3 linked regions of the Drosophila melanogaster genome follow. The gene in region 2 interacts genetically with the main gene of each other region. Each region holds a gene or a part of one and is shown on either strand. Other genes may lie near its edges.

The links. Genes that interact genetically often act in the same process or in processes that back each other up.
Region 1: of SREBP (region 2) and out, changing one suppresses a phenotype caused by changing the other (phenotypic suppression), as found in Drosophila melanogaster (one study listed by BioGRID).
Region 3: of SREBP (region 2) and Sln, changing one suppresses a phenotype caused by changing the other (phenotypic suppression), as found in Drosophila melanogaster (one study listed by BioGRID).

The regions. Positions count from the first base shown.
Region 1 is NC_004354.4:19,319,095-19,323,916, forward strand, and holds the start of out (outsiders), read right to left. Parts: upstream 3,013-4,822; 5' UTR 2,562-3,012; intron 1-2,561.
Region 2 is NT_037436.4:19,791,933-19,799,492, reverse strand, and holds SREBP (sterol regulatory element binding protein), read right to left. Parts: upstream 5,559-7,560; 5' UTR 5,334-5,558; intron 5,270-5,333; exon of another isoform or gene 5,168-5,269; intron 4,930-5,167; 5' UTR 4,794-4,929; intron 4,595-4,793; exon of another isoform or gene 4,592-4,594; 5' UTR 4,584-4,591; coding exon 3,101-4,583; intron 3,041-3,100; coding exon 2,235-3,040; intron 2,166-2,234; coding exon 1,774-2,165; intron 1,714-1,773; coding exon 1,587-1,713; intron 1,533-1,586; exon of another isoform or gene 1,434-1,532; intron 1,361-1,433; coding exon 1,193-1,360; intron 1,120-1,192; coding exon 754-1,119; 3' UTR 514-753; downstream 1-513. Other genes in the region: Ir76a (ionotropic receptor 76a), read right to left, coding at 1-109, 161-215.
Region 3 is NT_033778.4:11,843,436-11,851,335, reverse strand, and holds the start of Sln (silnoon), read right to left. Parts: upstream 6,013-7,900; 5' UTR 5,259-6,012; coding exon 5,226-5,258; intron 2,440-5,225; coding exon 1,473-2,439; intron 1,372-1,472; coding exon 919-1,371; intron 860-918; coding exon 254-859; intron 178-253; coding exon 51-177; intron 1-50. Other genes in the region: CG43190 (uncharacterized protein), read right to left, coding at 6,420-6,611, 6,670-6,822; S2P (site-2 protease), read left to right, coding at 7,383-7,457, 7,509-7,900.

The DNA.
Region 1 (4,822 bases), on a different chromosome or scaffold from region 2:
GCCCCTCACCCGGCCACAAAATAATCCCAACACCCGGCACATTCTCACATGTGTGTTTTGTGTGTTCTCTGCGATTCTCGAAGTGAAAATGGTATAGTAGGGATTTGGGTTAGGGAATGGGAAATGGAAATAGGAGTGGGTAGCCCAATGGAATAGGAATACGAACGGGAATGGGAATGGGAATGTCAATCTCCGGCGCAATCCCCATACCATGTCCATGTCGCTTTCCTATGCAAAGCGTTTAATGCACATTTCAGACCATTTCTAGGCACTTCTCCCCTCCTCTCCTCTCGACCCTGCTCTTCACTTCACTTCTTTTATTTTATTATATTTTTTGTTTAATTTTGTTTTTTGTTTTCGATCTTGTGTGTTGTTCGAGTCTCTGATTTTTGTGCTCAGCCAAATAAACTCACGTACTTCAAGCCGACTCCCACCAAGTGGTGCCTTCCGTGAACTGAAGTGGTGGCCCGAGAGGAGTGCACTGCGGTGCACTGGAGAAACCCAAAACCAATCCCAGAAATTCTCTTGGGCAAACTGGCCAATGGTTCCAGTTTCAGTCCCCAAATGCTAATGCCACTTGGGTGTGCTGTCAAACAAGACAAGTGGCTGACACACGATCTACGCGGAGGAGGCGGAGTTGGGTTCAACTAAGATAAAAAATGACAATTCAATAATGAAAATGCATGGTTATAAGCAAAATGCTTATCTACATAAATTATTGATTGGCTTTGTTTTTGGCGGCAAGAAATTAGTGCACACCTGAATGTTGATAAATAAAACTATTGATATAATATCATATCATAATCATATTGCTTTGTTAATTCCCCATTTTTTTTTTTCTGAATATTCATTGTGAAGTGTCAGAAGGCAAAATAACACTTCTAAGTTTTTCATTGAAAAACCCCTCTAACTATCTACGAGTATCTGACATATAACAGTCTGCCTTTTTTTTAGGCTTATCACCCCTTGAGATTCTGGACTTATGTACAGACCTTTGCACCGCCTCCTTGTCCATTGCAAATTTGCGAAAGGTGGATAGACCATTATACATCATCATCATCATCGCACAAACACGTAAGCAGTAGGCTTAGAACTGTTGATTCAATTGAGAATCAAACTAAATGCGAAATTTACCATCAATTTTCCAGATGAATGCGCACGAATGTGCTTCCATATGAAGGCCAAAATGTGGGGGCGCACAGGTGATTCCATTGTTTACCCCATTGCGAAATGCAACAGGTTATCTGGTGGGGAGTTAAGTCGGAATTTCAGACAGAGCATTTCACTTCTGAGCCGATTGCAAATACTATGGAAACCTTGGCAACCAGCAATGGTTATCAACGGCCAACAATATTTGGTTGCTCTTGAATGCCTCGGATGCCTTTTAATCAAATAATCGGTCAATTATAATCCAGGACTCTAGTTAAATCGGTATGTTTTCATAATTAAGCGCTTATGTTTGCTTATGCATTCATGCTCATTTTGGTGCACACCAAAGGATTTACAAAGTATTTTTTACCATAAAGTTGCAAAAAGCAGTAGTGATTACAAAACAGATTATAGATTATGTGCCTATATATATATATATATAGAATACACATTTATAAGTTGAACATGTACATATTCAATGCAGCACTTACATATTGAAATGTGACTTGCAGTGTGGGAAAAATACAGTCTCCTTGATTCAGAATATGCAATTTGGTGCTGTTAAAGCTTTCGATTACTTTCTACAATTAACCTAATTTACTGGTCCACCCTAATGGCGGCGCCATAAATGCATTCCCGCTCTCGAAAACGTGGACTCCTTCCATTCCGGCTTCGGCACCCGGACACACGGATTTCCAGATTCAGGACAGCACCTGAGGCCTGTCAGGCGGCGGGGTGGCGGTGGCTTTGAGGAAGGGGGAAGAGCAAGGCACCAGCACATCATAAAAATGTGTAATTCAATTTGGTAAACATTTTCTGCTCCCCGTCGATGGTTAGATGAAAAAAAAATGCACATGAAAAATGCTGAAACCTTTGGCAAAACTCAATTTGGTTCCGGGATCAGATCAGACTGGGCAGGGGATTATGGTTTGGACTAGACGGATTCCACCCACCATGTGAACTAATCACTTGGCCAGTGGTTATTATGGAAACTTCAGCTAATTCTTAAACTCAATTTGGGTTCTCACACTCTCTCACAGAGAGAGAGAGAGAGAGAAATCCTATAAGGTTTAATTCACGAATTTCCAAATCACACGTTTTTAATGCCTTCTAATTACGGTTTATGCTCAAAAGCAAAGCTTCTGAAAATCCCCTACCCCCAAAACAGTGGGCTACATTTGTCTTGGGCATAGTTTGAAAATTTCACAAAATCTTATTAATCTTCTTAATCTTCTTATATTGAATCACAAATAACAGTCACACATCACGTAAATTAAAAGCATGATTACTTTCTTAAAACGCGTTCCTATCGGTATAGTACATATGTATATTTGCAAATGCAATAAATTCTTGTTCAGTTCTTTTGCCACACTTAACTAACATCTTCACTTGTTGATCGACACGAGACTTACGGTGGTAACTTGTTGCCAATTTGCCTTCGGGTGTGTTGGAAATCACAGGTTAGCCAGATGTCTTGATGATCTGCTAATTCTAGCACTTTTCCCCCTGCGCTGTGTGCAGCACAGAGATTTCAAAAATATATGCACAGTAACAAAAAGAGAGTTCAAATACGACGACGAAACACGACGGATACGGATAACAAACAGCAAGTGCCGCAGAACGGAACAGCGTTAAAAAACAGCGTGTGGCTCAGCTGTTCTCTTCGGACGGCACACAATAATATTTGTACTGCTGCTGCTGCTGCTGCGCTTGGTGTTTCTAACAAACAATAACTCTTTCGTGGTAGCCAACTTCTTCTTTCGCTCCGTGTACGTCCGCTCGTTGGTGTGTTTACTGTTACGCGGCCAGCAGTCGACTTGCTGCTATTCCACTGCTGCGGTCTGCTTTATAGCATTCTCTACGCCAAAGCAAAGCAAAGTCACTGGCAAAGCAAAACGGCGGAACGAGAGCGAGATGGTCGGAGAGAGCTGGCCCGTACACTGAGAGAAATTTGCATTGGGCAAGCAAGAGAGAATGTAAATCTCTTGACCAAGGATCACATTACACATCACATGCTTGGCATGCTAGCAAATTCCCAATTTTATTTATTTTATATAATTACGTTGTTAAGCATAAGCTTATGAATGTTTCGGTTCTGAAATTCGTTAGCTTAAGTCCCTGGTACAAATTTGTAATTAACCGAAATTAATAAAATTTTTTTTTGCTCTGTACCGCCGGCGGAAGGCGGGAAGAGTGTGAACTTCTCTCTTCGTGCGTGGGCAGCGCCAGGATAGACGACGATGCACCGTAAGTGCAGCAGGAATCGCGGCAGAGGATGCAATGCAGCATTTAGCCATCCCAATTAGCAGTTGCCGGGCAATAGCCTTCCCTCTCTCTCCACCTGTCTCTTTCTCTGTCTCTCTGTCTTGGCCTGGGCGACCCCTCTCTATCGCACTCTCACAAGACCGGCTCAACAGTGGGCTGTGATGTGATTTGGCAAATGTGTTTACACCATCATGATGACGACGTAGAACTTGGACTGTTGAATAGATCCGCTCAGAGATCTTATTGCACTGAACAAAAATTCCGTTTCTTTTGACATGTTTTTGTTTAGCTTTGAGCTGAACACGTTTCTAAATTAATAAGAAATATAATAGAAATTATTATGCTTAACTAATTTTGGAAAAAGGCAAAATTATTGGCTCAAATTAATACAAAAATATAATAAGAATAAGAATAATTATCTGCGTTCAGAAATCATCTTATGGGAAAAAAGAGAGAGCTACAAACAGACAGAGAGAGAGAGAGAGACAGAGAGTAAGGGGAAAATAGATCTTTATAGAGCCGCTCTATGGCCGACCAACTGTTGCCACTTGCCGGCCACACAGCAAGTTCAAAGGTCGCAGGCCAGGTAGACAGTAGCCACTAATTGGTTGGTAGACAAATACCCATACACAGAGAACAATTTTGAACTTCGGTGCTGATGAATACAAAAAAATAAAAATGTATGCACAAACATATGCAAATGAATTTATAATTCATACCTGATATCTATTGCATATTTAGGTCCTTTAAAACATAAAAACATTAATGAACTCATGATTAACCAAAGTTAACTGTGTAGCAAAATTTGGTTGGGCTAGATTAAGTATTGAGTCCTCACTCGTAGCAACCCCTAAGAGGTTTTCTAGGGTTAACCACAATTAACGATCGTTTGGTCGCTCGTAAAAAAAAAGAACAATTACGATTTTATCCCTTCCTGTAATATTTTAAGGATTCCGTATATCCTATTTCTCATTTTTACGACGGCAATAAAGTAATTATGTAAACCATTTACCTTAATCCCCATCAATTTAAAGAAAAGAAAATCCAAGCTTTCGATCATTTATCAATTAGTAATGAGCCAGCCATCCTTCATTTGTCAATCCTTGCGGTCCCATCAATAAGTTACCAAGTGCACAGCGAATTAATTAATCTGACTCACGGTTCTATTTCGGTTTCACCGCATTGCTCCACTGTGCACTCTGCCCACTCTCTCTCTCTCTTTCTGGCTCGCCCGCGCTCTCTCACCCAACTCCCACTAGTTCTCCCCACATGAAAACTCCTTAGATACGACGACACAAGTAAGTCGTTTGTTCCGGCGGCAACCTATCGCCCCTGTCACCTTAACCTTGCACTTGGAGAAAGTGTGATGGCCAATGGAATATAGCATTGCTAGTTTTTGTTTTTAATA
Region 2 (7,560 bases):
TGCCAGTCCATGATTATTAATGGCATTGGATGAACCGTTTCCAGACGAAAATCAAACGCCGGGTGCCAAAAAATACAAGTGGCATGCGAGTCCGCGAAGAACTGCTGAGCTAACTATATTTTTTAAAAGGTTGTCCATGCTGAACAAAAGGACAACATACCAAAAAAACTAAGCACAGTGCTAAAGTAATATGACTCTACCAGCAAGTTTTCCATTTCACAGATTTTTTCCCTTGAAGTGTGCCTGAGGAATTTATATTATTTTCTGTGTGTATTATTATTATACATATACATTCTGTTTTTGTATATATATATATAGTGCTTGGTAGCTCACCCTGTGATGCACCCGACTAACAAAACTCCGCCGACGCAAAATGACCGACGCGAATGGAAGAATATTTCATTTTATATAAGGAAAAAGATTGCATACGCTACTAATACGTTTTCCATGAATTATGTACATATTTAACAAATTAGGAGCATGCACCGGTAACCAATAAAAGGCCTTGTAAATCTGTTAAAATATTTATTGTTATAAATACGTTTAACAAGTACGGTAAATAATAAACAAATAAAATGTCCATATTAAATAATTTTAAAATTACAATCTAAGCATAACCGGGCGTGGAAAACAGAGGAATAGCGTAATTATAAAGACCTAGGCATTTGTAATTCTTTTGAATAGCAAACGGGTATTCATTTGCTGAAAATCCACACCACGTTCGTGCCACTTATTATGTACTTCACTACTATCCTAAGCCTTCACGCTGCCAATGCCGTTGCCCAGCGACTTCATCAGCTGGTAGCACTCCTTGAGCTTTCGCTTGTCGCCCACCTTCTCCAGGGTCTTGGCCGCCTCGGCTAACATGCCAGCACGTTCACCCGGGGAGCTGAGCAGCGCAGGCGGGAGATACTTGCAGGCCACGTACATGGCCGAAGCCCGTTCCCGCTCTCCGCCCACGAAGTTCTGCTGCCGCCGATCCTTGCTGCCGCAGAAGATGGACGAGTGGGCGTTGCGTGATCGCAGACTCCTGTCCAAGAGCTGTTGCGTTGGACACGGTGAGGCTCCAGCCATCAGGCGACAAACTGCCTCGTACAAATATATGCGCGATTGGGCGTTCTGTAATGGCAAAAGTTTACACAAGCTCAGGTTACGGAACAGACATATTGGAAGGGTAAGGATTTGCATATACCGGTATATTCTCCACAATGTTGCGCAACGAGTTCAAATCGGTCTGGAACTTCTCGAGCACTTCACCTGGCACTTGGTAGAAGCCATCGTCCTCCATATTCATGTGTTCCAGTTCCCACAGAGCAGTCCTAGTTTCGAGCAGCCAATCGCAGGTAAGCAACTGGAAAAGCTGCATAGAAGAAATAATGATTAGTGCGCTCTTAAAACTTGGCGACTTTTGCCAGAGACATTCGGCGTTGTATGTGAAATGCACAGAGCTTGCACTGAAGTTGTATTGCCTGAAGCAATTGGGACAGACAATGCGACTACAATGCACCTTCGTGTCATCTCCAGAGGAAGAGTCTGGTGGCACTCAGTCGCCAAAAACTGATTGTTCGGGGTGCACACATTCTTACCAGCTTTATACCCTTGGCGTCGGTGATCCGGTTGACAGTCAAGCACTCTTGGAGCTCCACACTCGACTCATCGCAGAGGATGTTTACCAATTGCTTGAGACTTTTGTCCAGTGCGTTGCCATTGTTTCTGCAAAGGTGTGCGATGATTAGTTTTGTTCTTTTCATTAGTTGTTCTAGTTTTACTCACTTTAGTAAGATCATCTTAGCTCGCAGCACAGCATGCAGCGCCTTGGGCAGATGATCGTTTTCGCCGCACTGTTGCAGCTGCGTGGGCATTTGCTTGATCCTGCCGTACAATTGCTCGGCCAGCGTGTCTTCACCAAGGAGCCAGTGCACTGCGGTCTCCAAAACATCGGCCCACCACACCACGTTTGTATCCCGCTCATCCTCATCAGCCCAGAGAGTGTCCTTAAGGAGGGACGTGTACTTAAGAACATTGCTGACAATGGTGCCGCTGTGCTGCTGTTGCTGCAACTGTTCCGCCTCTCCGCTGACAGAAGATGTGGGCAGGCCTCCCGATTTGTGGCCCGCTCCTACCAGACACTGAATGGCTTTAAACAGCAAATGCTCTCGATATTGCTGATTATTGGAAAAGAAACAATTAGTTTTGAATTGTGTGCGATACACTAGAAATTCAGTCCAACTTACCTTAATGACGTGGGCAGCGGGATCACATGGATTCCTAAGACGTGTGAAGAATCCATCCTGCTCGCCGGAGTCGCTCAGATCGTACGTGAAGACGTGCGTGGCGCAGTAGCGATATCCATAGGCTGTGAATGCCCAACGTAGCTCCTGCGTTTGCTCGGTGGCCCTAGTGAGACCGCACTCTTGACGAGCCCGGCTCATGTAGTATCGGGCGAAGAGCTGTTGCAACCATTTTGGGGCACTGCGCTTCATTCGCAACGCTGTCATTACGTGGATGCAGATGGTCTCGCGCGGTGTCAGTAGATTGTGCGCCACTTCAGCCATGTTGCTTGCGAATAGTGCCATCATAATGCCGTTCATGTCACCGCGGCTTCCATTTCCAGTCAGTTGCAATTGATTCAGTCGGTTGAAGAGCAGGGCCAGTTCGCGTGCAGATGCCAGCGCCTGTTTCCTGCTGGCGGCGTTGCTAAACAGCCCACCGGACCGCCGTGACAGCACCCGACCCAGCCAGAGGCGATGGAAAAGAAAACGAAGGAACTGCCACGTGGTCTGCAAGTAACACTCCAAGCGCGACGCCGGTAGACTTAATCCAAACATATGCAGACAGTTGAGGTAACCGGCGTAGGCCTGAGACGACTGTCCTTGGCTAAAATAGAAGTCAGCCCGCTGCCTGTGCTGGCAGTAGGCGTCCGTTTGCGCGTCCAGCTGCGGATCACCGTAAACCAGCAATTTCACCAAGCATCCAAGCATCAGTGTGAAGTTCAATAGCCATATCCAGGAACTCTGCTGCCAGACAGCAAAACCTTCACCTAAATCAAGGAGAAACCCATTAGCAATATTTAACAACATCTGGATGCTAGGCTAGCTACCTTCCACGTCGTAAGAGAGAATGCGTCTTTGACCGCTCATGTCGCCAAGATCGTCATTACTGTCATAGTGGCCGCGCTGGAGAAAGGTCTTGAAGGGATTGACGGCCAGGATGGCGAACATAAACATGCAGAGTCCGAGGCGAGAGTGGGTGGCCATGCCGCGCATAGAGCTGGGCACCACCAGTGGTTCTTCATTGCTGCTGCTGCTGCCACTGCTACAGCTGGCGGTGGATCCACCATAGGGTGATGGCGGCAACGAGATGTCCGAGTGCATGGGCGAGAGCGAAGGATCCGATTCATCGCTGCGTGGCGGCGTCAGTCCGGCATCCGTGGTAAAGGTCTGCGAGCTCTCGCGGCGCTTCTTGGATGCTCTACCAGGCCGAGTGCCCAGCTGAAGTAAATCCTTCACCTTGGAGCCGTCGCGTGCCATTAGCTCCCTCTGCAGGCGCTGCAACTCTGCCTTCAGATCGTGATTCTGGCGTTGCAGATCCCGAATCTTGTCTATGGATTTCCGCAACACTGCGGACTTGTTCAGCTTGGCCTGCTCTCCCACTACCAAGTTCTTCAACTCGTTAATCTTGTCGTTGATTGAGGTGCGATAGCGCCGCTCGATGGCGTTGTGGGCCGAGCGCTTTACTTCCTTCACCTTGGGTTGAACCCGGTTGATAGGTACCTTGCCCTGGACTTCCATAGCGGCAGGTGACGGAGCCAGTGGTGCCACTCGCACCTTGCTGGCCCGACTACCTGTGCTTGTCGGTGGTGGAGCCACAGGTGGAGATGGGGTTGGACTGGCTACCGTGGGCTGCAAGAGGAAGTACATGGCTTCATCGGAAGTCATTCCGGCCTTAGAGTTGTACGTAATGAAGGGTTGCGGATACGACTGCTGGGGCAAAGGAGCAGAAGCGGGAGCAGGAGTTGCAGCAACGGGCTGCATGACATTGACATTCTGGTTCGCAGACTCCACCGGCGACGTGGGCGGGGACATGGACTGGTAGACAAAGCTACTGCCCAGAGATGGGGGATACACCGCCGTGTTCGGCGGCATCCGCTGGGCGTCCATGTGATGTATGGTGGCTGTTGGTTGGGCGGCCTTCAAAAGGCCCGTCGGCTGTTGCTGGGGACAATTGTAGCTTGTGGCTATGAGGGGATCTGGTTTGTAGACGAGAAGCGGCGACTGTTGTTGCTGCTGATGCAGTTCCTCCTTGATGTGCACTGGCGAAGAGTGCTCGCTTTTCACGTGCGGCTGTTGCTCGACGGATTGCGGCTGCTGATCCACGGACTGCGTCTGCTGGGTATGCGTTCGAGGCTCGTCCAGCAGCATGTTGTACATCTGCGTCGGCGCCAGGTCCATGTCGTTGAGGATGATGTCCAGCATGTCCGAGTGCAGGTCGGCGTCGAACGGTTCGAAGACATCCTCCGCTTTGAACAAATCCATGGACTCGTCCAGCGGAGCGTCTATTAAGTTCATCAGTGTCGTGTCCATTGCGAATGCTGCTGATGAAAGGGACAAAAACGGTTCGTAATTAAATACTGGCGGGCCCACGTATGTGCATATTTATGTATGTATGTTTGTACATTTGAGGATTGTTTATTAAAGTTCTATGCGGCGCAATAACAACAGTGGGACAAGTATGTTGGTGCCGGAAAAAACAAATATTAATATGTTTATAATCACATTAATTCATTTAATTACCCTTTTTCCACAGTGGCCACTTGCAGCTTTAATAACAGATTAAAAGGGGTTTTTATAATTAAATTTGTAATATACGTAACAAAGTTAAAATAAATCTTTTAATTGTACTCAAACCTAAAGTGAATCACAGTCGGACCTGAAAATGGCATATGTGTTAACTTGTTTTTGTTTGTTTGTTGTTTGCTCGTAGTTAAAATAGGAACAAAATATAATATCTTGAGATCATTTTGGCTATATCAAGTTTTGCTAGACTAATGCAAATTGCAATAGAGGCGAATATTTTTAAACGGTCTAAGCTTTTACTTCGCTTTTGGCCCACTGTGCACTGCACACACACATACGCGACCGGGAAAGCATGCGTAAGCGCTTTCAACCAATCAGAGGGCTCGACCGGATCATACGATGTTTTTAGTGACGCCACTTGGCCTTTGGGAGCTCCAACAGGGCATTTTCCCAGGCTCCACTGGTTTCCCGATCTGATTTCCGCGAAAATTAATCTATTAGACACTATCTACATTATTAGCAGAAAAAGAAACGCACCTTTACCACCTTCTATCTGTTTTCTTAGTTCACGTGTGCTTTTGTTTTTCCATAACTGGTTAATGTCAACGCACTTTGCTTTAAACTAGCGACTAGTTAGTAATAGTTGCAACACTTGTTGTTCATGGTTGTTTTGATTTTTTTCACGAGTATATTTGCAGCTTAATAAACAATTGCTTTCGATTGCAGTAAACTTTGTTCTTCAGGGATGACGAGCAGTAGTTCGGGCCTAAGGAACTGGTTCAGGTCTTGACTCCCTGGCATCAAGAAACAGCTGTATTACTTACAATGCCTGTATAGAAATATATATATTTAATAGTTTATGATGTATTTTATAAAACTGCCATAAAATATCAACGCTGATTCTGACACGCAGAGTAAGGAAATAAATTCAACATGTATAAGTGTAATTTAAAATATGCGGTTGTCCTCGCTGAGCGTGGTGGATGTCACCGCTACCTACATTCAAGAGAATAATTAAGAGAGCGCCAGAGCCGTGTGACCGCGCTAGAATTACTTAAAAATACCAAGGAATGTTGAAGACAAAAAGTTCCGGTAAATTGGCACAACGCACTGGCCACACTGCTACATCACATATTCAAAATCGGGTAGGTAGTCGCGACGGAAAACGGGAAACGCGGACGAATCGCGGAGCCAGAGAAGCGGTAAATTCGAAATAACCGTTTGGAAAGAGCAACATGATGAGGTTCTTTATTCGTTTTTAGTAAAATGGTACAAAGTGAATATGTGATTTAATTGATAACCAGCATGGGCGCCGTCAGTGTTAATTGCGTTCTGAATTGCTCTTTCGAAAACGCAGACACAAATGCACACACACAAAGTAGCGGCACCCACACGATCGCAATGGCAAAAGTGCTGCAGTGATAAAACAAATGCACAGCCATAAAGGCAAAGTCGGAAAAGTTTCACAATGCACTGGCGGCCCATGCATAAAAATGTACAATTTGGCGCTCTTTGCACTTGTCACGTCGTTGGAAAAGCAAAAAAACCTACCAACCAACAACAATAGGAACATAAACTGAAACAAAAAGAAAACCATTTTTGCTTCGCGCTTTTGTTTTTGTTTGGACCGCCGCTCACGCACTTTCGCGCTCACACGCAGAAACTTTTTGCATTTGTTTTCTTCACCCGTTGCATTATCACAACAACTGATCTCCTCTGCCCTCTCTCTGATGCTCTTGCTCACACTTGTTCGCTCTGTCTCGCCAGGGTTGCCATTTTCGACCGACAAACTTGCACTTGCTACTATGAATAACCTTTAAAACGGTTTTATTTTGGCACAATCTTAGGATTTATTTACGATTTTTGCGATTTACCGCATTTGCTGTCTGCAACAGTTTACATTTTTGTTTACCTTTACGGTCGCCAATTGGAAATACTAACTGCAAATTTGGTTGCCTTAAGTGTAGGTGTATTGTTTTCAATATAGACGAAGCTTATTTATATCAAATGCCTATTATTTAAATTAAACTGAAAACATTCAACCAACGGTCATCAGGAAAAGTATCTTAAGAGGACTATTTCACTACTAAATCCTATTTTTTATATTTCTACTTCACCTTAGCTTATCAAAATCTTTATAAATCCGATTGTATGTATGATGCAGCATAATTTTATTATTCTCGGTAATATATGGATATGCTTCAAATCCAAATATACAGACTTTATTTATTCAATAAATTAGTTTAACCTAATGTTAAACTAAATATAAAATAACTAAAATTAGTTTAACCTAATGTTAAACTAAATATATTACCGAACGCTGTGATTATGACTCTGTTATTTACCAACTGTCTTGCAACTTGGAAATATTCCTGTATTAATCATTTCCTATTTTCCTTGATACAAAAGAGCCTTTATTTCACTGCAATATTGAGTCATCCAACAAGCTGTTGTTGTAGATTTGGTCCGATTTTTCTATTTCTTCTTCTGACTGTTCTCATACTCTCTGTGCTTCTGTTTCTCCGGCTTTCTGCATAAATTACATTTTCCGTTTGGACTTTGCCAGTTTTGCTAGTGTTAGCACCTCCTTGGCGAAAAGTTTCCAACGGAAATTGTCAGCAGAAAATGAAAAACTCCCATGTAAATACTCCGCAAACGCACACACGCACGAGCTCAGCGGAATACACACCAATACACACGCACACACTAGCAGCGGCAGCGCTTAATAAAGATTAACGCATTTCTTATCAAGCGGTGATAGCGG
Region 3 (7,900 bases), on a different chromosome or scaffold from region 2:
GGGAAATGTGATTAGTTTGGATCGAAAAATAAACCTTATCTGGTACTCACCACAAGGTGTAGGTCTTCTTGCGATCGAATAGCTGCAGGTCGCACAGCCAGCCAAGTCCAAGGCGCCCAATTAAATCTAGGACCGCGCTGATGGCCACCAGGTATCCCGCCTCACTTTTATTGTATCCTAAAGATGAACCAAGTTTATAATATTTAAAATCGTACGCCGAAAGAATATACTTTGAACATTTTAAATAGTATACCTATTGAAATAACGTGGGCGGGCAGATAGTACAACATGTAGGGACAGCCGACGGACATCAAGGTGACGGATAGGCACATCAGGATAAAGCTCGGGTCCTGCAGCAGACTGATGTCCAGGTACATCTCGATGCGCTCGCAGCAAGTGCGTGGTCCCCGCTCTTCGTCGTCATCGTCATCCTCATCGGCGGCAAGGTGGCCGTCGCCATCGATAATGGACTCCACCAGCTGGGAGTCTAGAATGCCGAGCTCCGCCTGCTCCACCGGCTGCTGCTTGAGATCACTGAGGTTGCTAACCGGAGTGGGTATCTCCATGCTCTTGCTGAGTCCGCGACTGACCACACTCGGCGGCGAAAGAGGCTTCTCCAAGTGGGCTTGTATCTTGGATATCACCTCGTCGTTGGCAAAGACATTGCGCCGACGACGACTTCCGCGATTGGAGTCCGTGCCGGAGTGCTTGCGATAGACCCAAGTGGAGTCCGTGCTCAGATCTTCGACGGAGTGCAGCAATCCGGAACTGCGCACCTTCTTCATGGGCTTGATGAAAGTGGTCTCGCCAATAATATCCTTTACCTCGTCGTCACTCTCCTGCGCTGACTTGTCCTGGGCTAAGTAACCAAATGGGATTTATTATTTGGAGTTTTCCTCGATGAAATAATACTCCCACCTGGCTGCTTGCTGGCATAGTAGTTCAGGTGGTTCTTGGACTCCTCCAGGAACAGATGCTCGATAAACTTGTCGCTCAGCTCGTGGCCTGCACCCACATCGCAGGTGTCTAGGTAGGTGGATGTAGTCAGAATGCCCGTGGTGCTCGGATTGATGTCTTCGTTGAGGGGCTTTGCCGTCTCCTCCTGTCCCTGGCCCGAGTCCTGATCCGTGTAAGCACTGATTGGGCGGTAAAGTGTGGCCGAAACGCACACGTGAAGCATGCAACCGCCCAGGATCAGAATAGTGCCGTGGAAGCCACAGTTCTCCGCGAGGTGCTTTATCAGAACGGGTAGGATGAAGCTGCCGGCGGCAGTGCCCGAAACGCAGATTCCATTGGCCAATGCACGGTGCTTGTCAAAGTATTGGGACACTATCACTATGCCCGGAGTAGTCGAGAGGCCACCTCCAATACCTGGGCGTGAAGAAATAGTTAAATATAAACATCATGATAACTAAATAAATATAATTACTAATGTGATGAGGATAAATTTAAATTGATTATACATTATGCACCTGTGAGTACGCCAAATGTTAGGAGGAGGTGCAGCAGACTGGTGGCAAAGTAGCTCAGTATCATGCCCATGGCGCAGAAAATGCCGCCGACGAAGACCACCGTTCGGCAGGAGAATCGCTGGCAAAGAGCACTGGACAGCGGGGCCAGGACCAGACATAGAGCCGACAGGATCGCTGGAATCCAGGAGGCCACGGTGGCCGTAGAGCTGGGAAATGTCTCCATAATCTCCACATACAGCACGCCGTACGACTTGACCAGTCCGGCCACCCAGAATTGCACGGAGAAGGCCCCAAAGACGATGAACCAACCGTAACCGCCGTCCGGTGGCTCCACATTCGGACCACCGCTCTCCGTTGTGGTCGTTGAGGAGTCCCGATCCTTGACCACTTGCTTGCTACGCCTGGCGACGGTCACGCGATCCCGCTCGCGCTCCTTGGCCCGGCGGACGCACCTGCTGCGGGCCGTATTCAAACCAGATCCGGAACCTGAACCCGACTTCCGACTGCTGCGAAGCTCATGCGATTTGGCAATCAACGGTCGCGCCGTGATGCTGGACACGGTCAGCAGGTTCTCATTGTCGTCCTCCTCCAGCTCGGAGATCTGATGCTCCAGCAGGCTGGCGTGCAGGGTCCTCGGGCAGCATTGCGTGTCCAGGCTGAGGGTGGCGGGTCGTCGCATGGGCGAGGCGTTGGGTGAACAGCATCCGGAGCGGAAGGCGGCGGACTCCATGTGTTTGCCATCCATCTCGGTGGGCACAACGATGTCGGGCAGTGGAGCCGGCGGCGCTGATACCACCGAGAACAGGGAGCCGCATTCGAGGCCGACTCCGCCACCGGACCCGTCCACGCCCGCCCCTCCGCCGGAGCCCTCAGCCGTCTTCGTGTGGAGAAGGCACCCTCCCGACTCGTACTGGACTCCACCAGTTGGGTCCGGTTCACTCGCGCAGTAAACCGATCCCCGGGAACCCTGCGAAAAACATAAATAGTATTTTTGTATCGTTAAACATTAAATATGCTGGTTATCTAGTGCAATATTTAATATAAATCTATGAAAGTGTGTTTAAGATATGGAGTATGGAGTATGGAGGGATGTTTTTTTTAAATAACAATTAAATAACATAACAAGTTAACGAAGTAAGCAACCCAAGAAAATGGGCCAATTTAATTGCGAAAGTTCTTATCAAGTAGTAGACATCAAAAGTTAATGTCCCAAATTGGCGTGCATCCAAAAATTCCGCCTCCGCCGTAGCATTCAAAAATGGGTTAAACCCCGTCAGAAATCCGGGGCTGTTGACAAATCGACTGGAGGCGGGTCAAGGAAGCAACAACTTAGCCCAATTTGCATTGCTAAACGAAATGCGAGGAGCGCACGCGATCTGCCGCCTTATAGACGACATCGCTGCAACGACCTAATGTATGCAATACGTTTTGTTTAATTGAGTTAACATCCAGTTCCTTCCCGATTCCCGCTCCGCTGGGCTATGTAATTACCCGCGGACCGAGCGGATTTTCTTGTTATATGTACTTTGTTAAATCGATGCCAGGCTGCAGGTGCATGCTGTGCCTTGCGGGCTGGCATGACGTCTGGGAATTTTCCATTTGTCTGCGGGATCCGCTGCCACTTCCTCCCACGAAACCTCCATTTTCCGACGACTCAGGGTCAAGAGCGAGGTGGGTCTGGTCTGGCATGCGGTTGCCTTTCAGCACTTTTTTAGTTTCTGTCTTTGTTGCCGGAAATTGATGGGGGGTTCGATTGGCCCCAAAGGAGCAGTGGTGGGTGTTTGCTCCAATCCAAGGACGATGCAATGCTCGAACCGAAGGCTAATGCCAGGAAATATACCCGTGCTGATAAGACGCCAATCTTTGCCAAGCCCTCGTAGAAAGGACACAATTGGAAAGCAGTCAAAAACGAAATTCGGTAAGTTGATGTAAGGTATTATTGGGTTTACAGCCATGCCAACAGCTCAACTATACATACTAACTAATATATACATTTAAAACTTTATGTTATATGTGCACAGTTAATATTTTTACCTCATATTGAACTATTCCTAATTAGATTTCAACACCTGCCCCCTTAATATTTATGTGCTGTCGCAATCTTATTGTTATAACCAACAGTTCGTAATAACTCATTTCCTAATAGCTTCTTATTTCGCACTTAGTTGTCCCGCTCCCACCTATTTCTTGGTACTTCCAATGACGTACGTATACGAAATATGATACATTGCTGGCATCAAATATCAAGTATGCGACGTGTGTGCCCATTAGAAAGAAGGATTGGTGCCCAACGCTGGTTAAACCTATGCACAATATATTAGGTGAAGCGCTCTATCCTTAGTCAACCTTTTTATTTGCTTTTACTTAAGTATCCTATCTAAGCATGTCAGTTCTTAATGAGCAAATAATCAATAATTATTATAACGAATAAATATTGCATGGTAAATGTAACAAATCATAACATCACTTATGCTTAATAAAGCCAAGTAAATTTATATAATTGAATTCTAACTTTGAAAGTAAATTTAATAAATTTGTCTTTTGTTTACGTGGCATGTCATTTGTCGAACTTCGTGCCGCTTATGAACTGTCAGCCATATTGATGGTAGAAATATGCCAAATAGATGGCATGCAATATTCTTGAACGAGTGCAAAATGCAGTCACACATCTGACACGACTAATGAGCGTTGGCCAACTCTTGGCATTTGGCAACTCCCCCTCAAGAGCATGAGTCACAGCATCCTAGAGCCAGTGACCTTGTCGAATGTCAAAGGCCCACGTCGCCGTGGCATGCGATGGTATACGATATCCTGGACGCCAAGAACCCCCAAGACCACCCTCTGCTGTCAGCTGGAATCCGGCTTAAGCTGTCAGGAAGCTTTCGCTGGGGCAGCTCTGCAATCGCTGGTTGTTTTCAATTTCCCAACATTTCAAGGCCTTTGCCAGCGCTTAATGAAACGGAAGAACCTTCCCCCGGGCCAAGTTAGTTGGCGCTCGTGTGTGGGCCTGAACGATAAGCGGTCAAGGTGAAAGGGGTGGCCTCAAGTCGGCTGGTCGAGGGTGGTATCTAGTCGGGGAGGGAATCTAGTGGGGAGGACTTGACGCACAACTTGTTGAGCCACCCGTAATTGCTAGCCCTCCGTAATAATAGATATTAGGTTGCACAGGCCTAGGCCAATTAGTTCACCCAATCAGCAGGACATTGATGCTTAAGTGTAGGGATGCTGTACTCCCATATGCGAGTGTAAACACCTACTTAAATTTGGCTCAAAATTCATGTTTTAAGTGTTTACAAAATCAACGATTGTAAGTGTAAGTATAATTATAAGCATAATAAAAAGTTACTTTTCATTTGTGTCAAAACTAGTAGAAATGAACACTTCTATTCGATTTAATAGGTGTCATTAAAGGTCAACACCATGCCACGACTGAACTTTGGCTTGTGGTTTTCGGTCTTTCCATCAGCAGTCGGGGCATGTATTGTTTACTTTCTTGTCCCCGTTCTTCTAAAGCGACTAAGATGGATGCAACTTGTGACGTTGACCCATTCTCCTGTCGCTTGCAATGTTTACGTACTCGTAAAACACTCTCTGGTCCAGTGCGCATGCTCACCAGAGGAACCCAAACTCCAGCTACCTCAATACGATTGCCATTGGCCCACTCCCCAGAAAAGGCAGCGAGGAGGAATCAAGGGGGATGGTTCCTGACCTTCCCAAAGTAAGGATAATGGGATGCTGGGTAGTACTACTCACCTGTAAATGCCAGTCACGCTGTAGGGACGACATTGCCGTCCTTTACTGAACGTGAAACGCCTTTGATGTTTCTCTTGTTGCTCGCGCTGTTGTTGTTGTTGCTTGGGGCGTTGTTGTTGTGCACCCAAATGCATTGGGTTGCCTCTGCTTTGGGTCCTTAAAGTCCTGAAGAGCTGACGTTCGCGGGCCTTCACCGGTTGGCCCAAAATAAATACTCTCTTGCTACTGCTGCTTCTGCCGGAACGGCTCCTTTGGCACTGAATCCTTTGCGGGTTCGTCTTGATGGTTTGTTCTCCGAATCGATTGCGATTTTCGTTCGCTTTTTCTTGAGGGCTTCCTTGAGGAACTTGTATGGGTTTTCCTAGGGGCAATATCCTTGCTGCTCTGGCGTCATGATGCGTTGATGTGACACACAGTATTCCCTGTTACTATTGTTTATGCAGCAGCTGTTTCCGCTTCCGCTTCCTTGTCGCCCCCTTCCGTATCCGTTTTCGGCACAAGCGCACTCTCTCACTCACTCGCTGGCGAATATGCAGTTTTTGGAACAAATCGATATGGGGCGAGATTCCAGCTGAAGTCCTTTGTTCTTAGCTTACTCAATCACAATCGAACGAATTGGATCCTTCCAGTGAGTTAAATTGGTTAAAAATACGCCTGAAGCTATTGAACACTTTCTCTGATTGGGAAAACCCTTTGCAAAAGCCTTTTTATTTTTCGTGAGTACTCTTCGTTTGTTGCCCTTTTTGGCGGATGCGACTGTTCTGCTGCTGCTCAAGCTCACGACTAAACTGATGATACTCATGTCCTCTGGAGGTCCATTGAAAACCCAACTCAGTTAAGGTGAACTTGGTGGTGGTGAGTTTCGGCATGGAAAAAGGAAAAACAAGAGTAAGAGGTCCTCTCTTCCTTTCCATTGGTTTTCATCCGTTTTGTTTTGCTAGGTTCTTTTGGCCGCCTGTTGCCAGAACCACCTACTTTTATTTCTGAAAACAGCTGATGAATGAATTACGAATTGCCTTACGAATTAAAGTCACACAAATTTAACAAATGTAACTTTACAATTTCTCATGCTAGATTTTCATATACCTATAATTTTTCAATTTTAATCAAAGTAGGTGTATTCGTTGCTCTTGATTACTGCACGGCAAATTTATAATATAAATCCAAAACTAAACGAGAACACTTTGCATTGCTCTATAGAGAAGTGCGTAGTTCTTCCAGGCTTTTGGTCATGTTCAACGCCACTCCAAGAAATATAAAGCTGATGGCCACAGATGAGAAAACGGCAGCCGGTAGGTTCTTGAGTAGCCACTGCAGGATCATCGTGTAGACGGCAATGGCCATGAGCAGCATGCACATGTATGGATAGGCCAGCCATTTAATGAACTGCAAAATCACAGGATTCTTAAGAATATTTCCTCAATTAATTTTGCTTCAGGTTAACCTTCCAAACTGCAATAATCAACAGGAGCGAGGATAATGCATAGAGAGCCGATCCGGTGGTCCACACAATCTTTACCGCTTCAGAGACACCTGATAAACTGGTCATGAAAAGATAGCCGGCAGCCACGCCCGATATACAGGATACGCAGGCCATAATGGAGACGATCAGCCTGCAAGTCGGCAAAAGTCTCTTATATGAGAATTCCTGTTCGCTCATGTGTTTGATGTATTTTAAGTCACTTAACACAATGGATTTTGAATTTTTTTATATTGAAAGCAAATCATTTTCATAAAAAAATTTTAATTGTTGTTTTTGAGTTGTTCAACAGTTTTCTTTGTTTGACGTTGAATAGTTGAAAATGTTCAAAACTTTCGCGCCCAAATAAGCTTGCTTATCGGTATTATTGATAAAGCGGCCATCGATAAGTTCTGCAATCGATTGCGATTAGCTTTTGGTATTTCGATTTTTTACGCAGGTTAATTTGCGCACAAGATTCCCAGACGTGATTAATGCTGATTTCTGGTCTGGACTACACAGCATTGCTGGTATAAGGAGTCGGGACCAGAGGAGTAAGATTTCGGGAAGGAATCCCGTCCGGTAGGGACTACTAGCATTCGCAAGTGACGTCCAGCAACCGGAGGACCCCCAACTGTAGAATCCGCATCACCATCCTAATCCCAACAAACCAATGACATCTTGAGACCTCACCAGCCATGGATCCCTTCGTGTTCTTCATAGTACTGGCATCGCTTTATGGCGTTCTTTACTTTTTCGACCGCTTCTTCAAGGTGTAGTATATCCAGCCAAAGTACGTCCAGATACTTAATGTAATCCCTTAGAGTTGCATGCACTACCCGTACGATGCCTTCCTCAAGAACACCGGGCTGAGTATAAATTTCATGAGCCTCCACTGGCACACGAGTGCCTTTAACAGGACCCTCCTACGCTGGGGATCTGCCGGTAACAGCTGCACCCGGAGAGTAATGATCACCAGCTTTAATGTAGGAGTCCTGGTCACCTTTTCTCTGCTCCCGATCGGTCTGATCCTGCTCATTGCCACTATCTTCAGCAGTGGTGAACAAGACAGCTCTTCGTCTGTATCCTCGCCCGTTGGAGTCCCTGTGCAGCTGGAAATTCTACTGCCCGGCGTCAACTTGCCGTTGGAGGAGATCGGATACTACATCACAACCCTTGTGCTCTGCTTGGTGGTGCACGAGATGGGACACGCCCT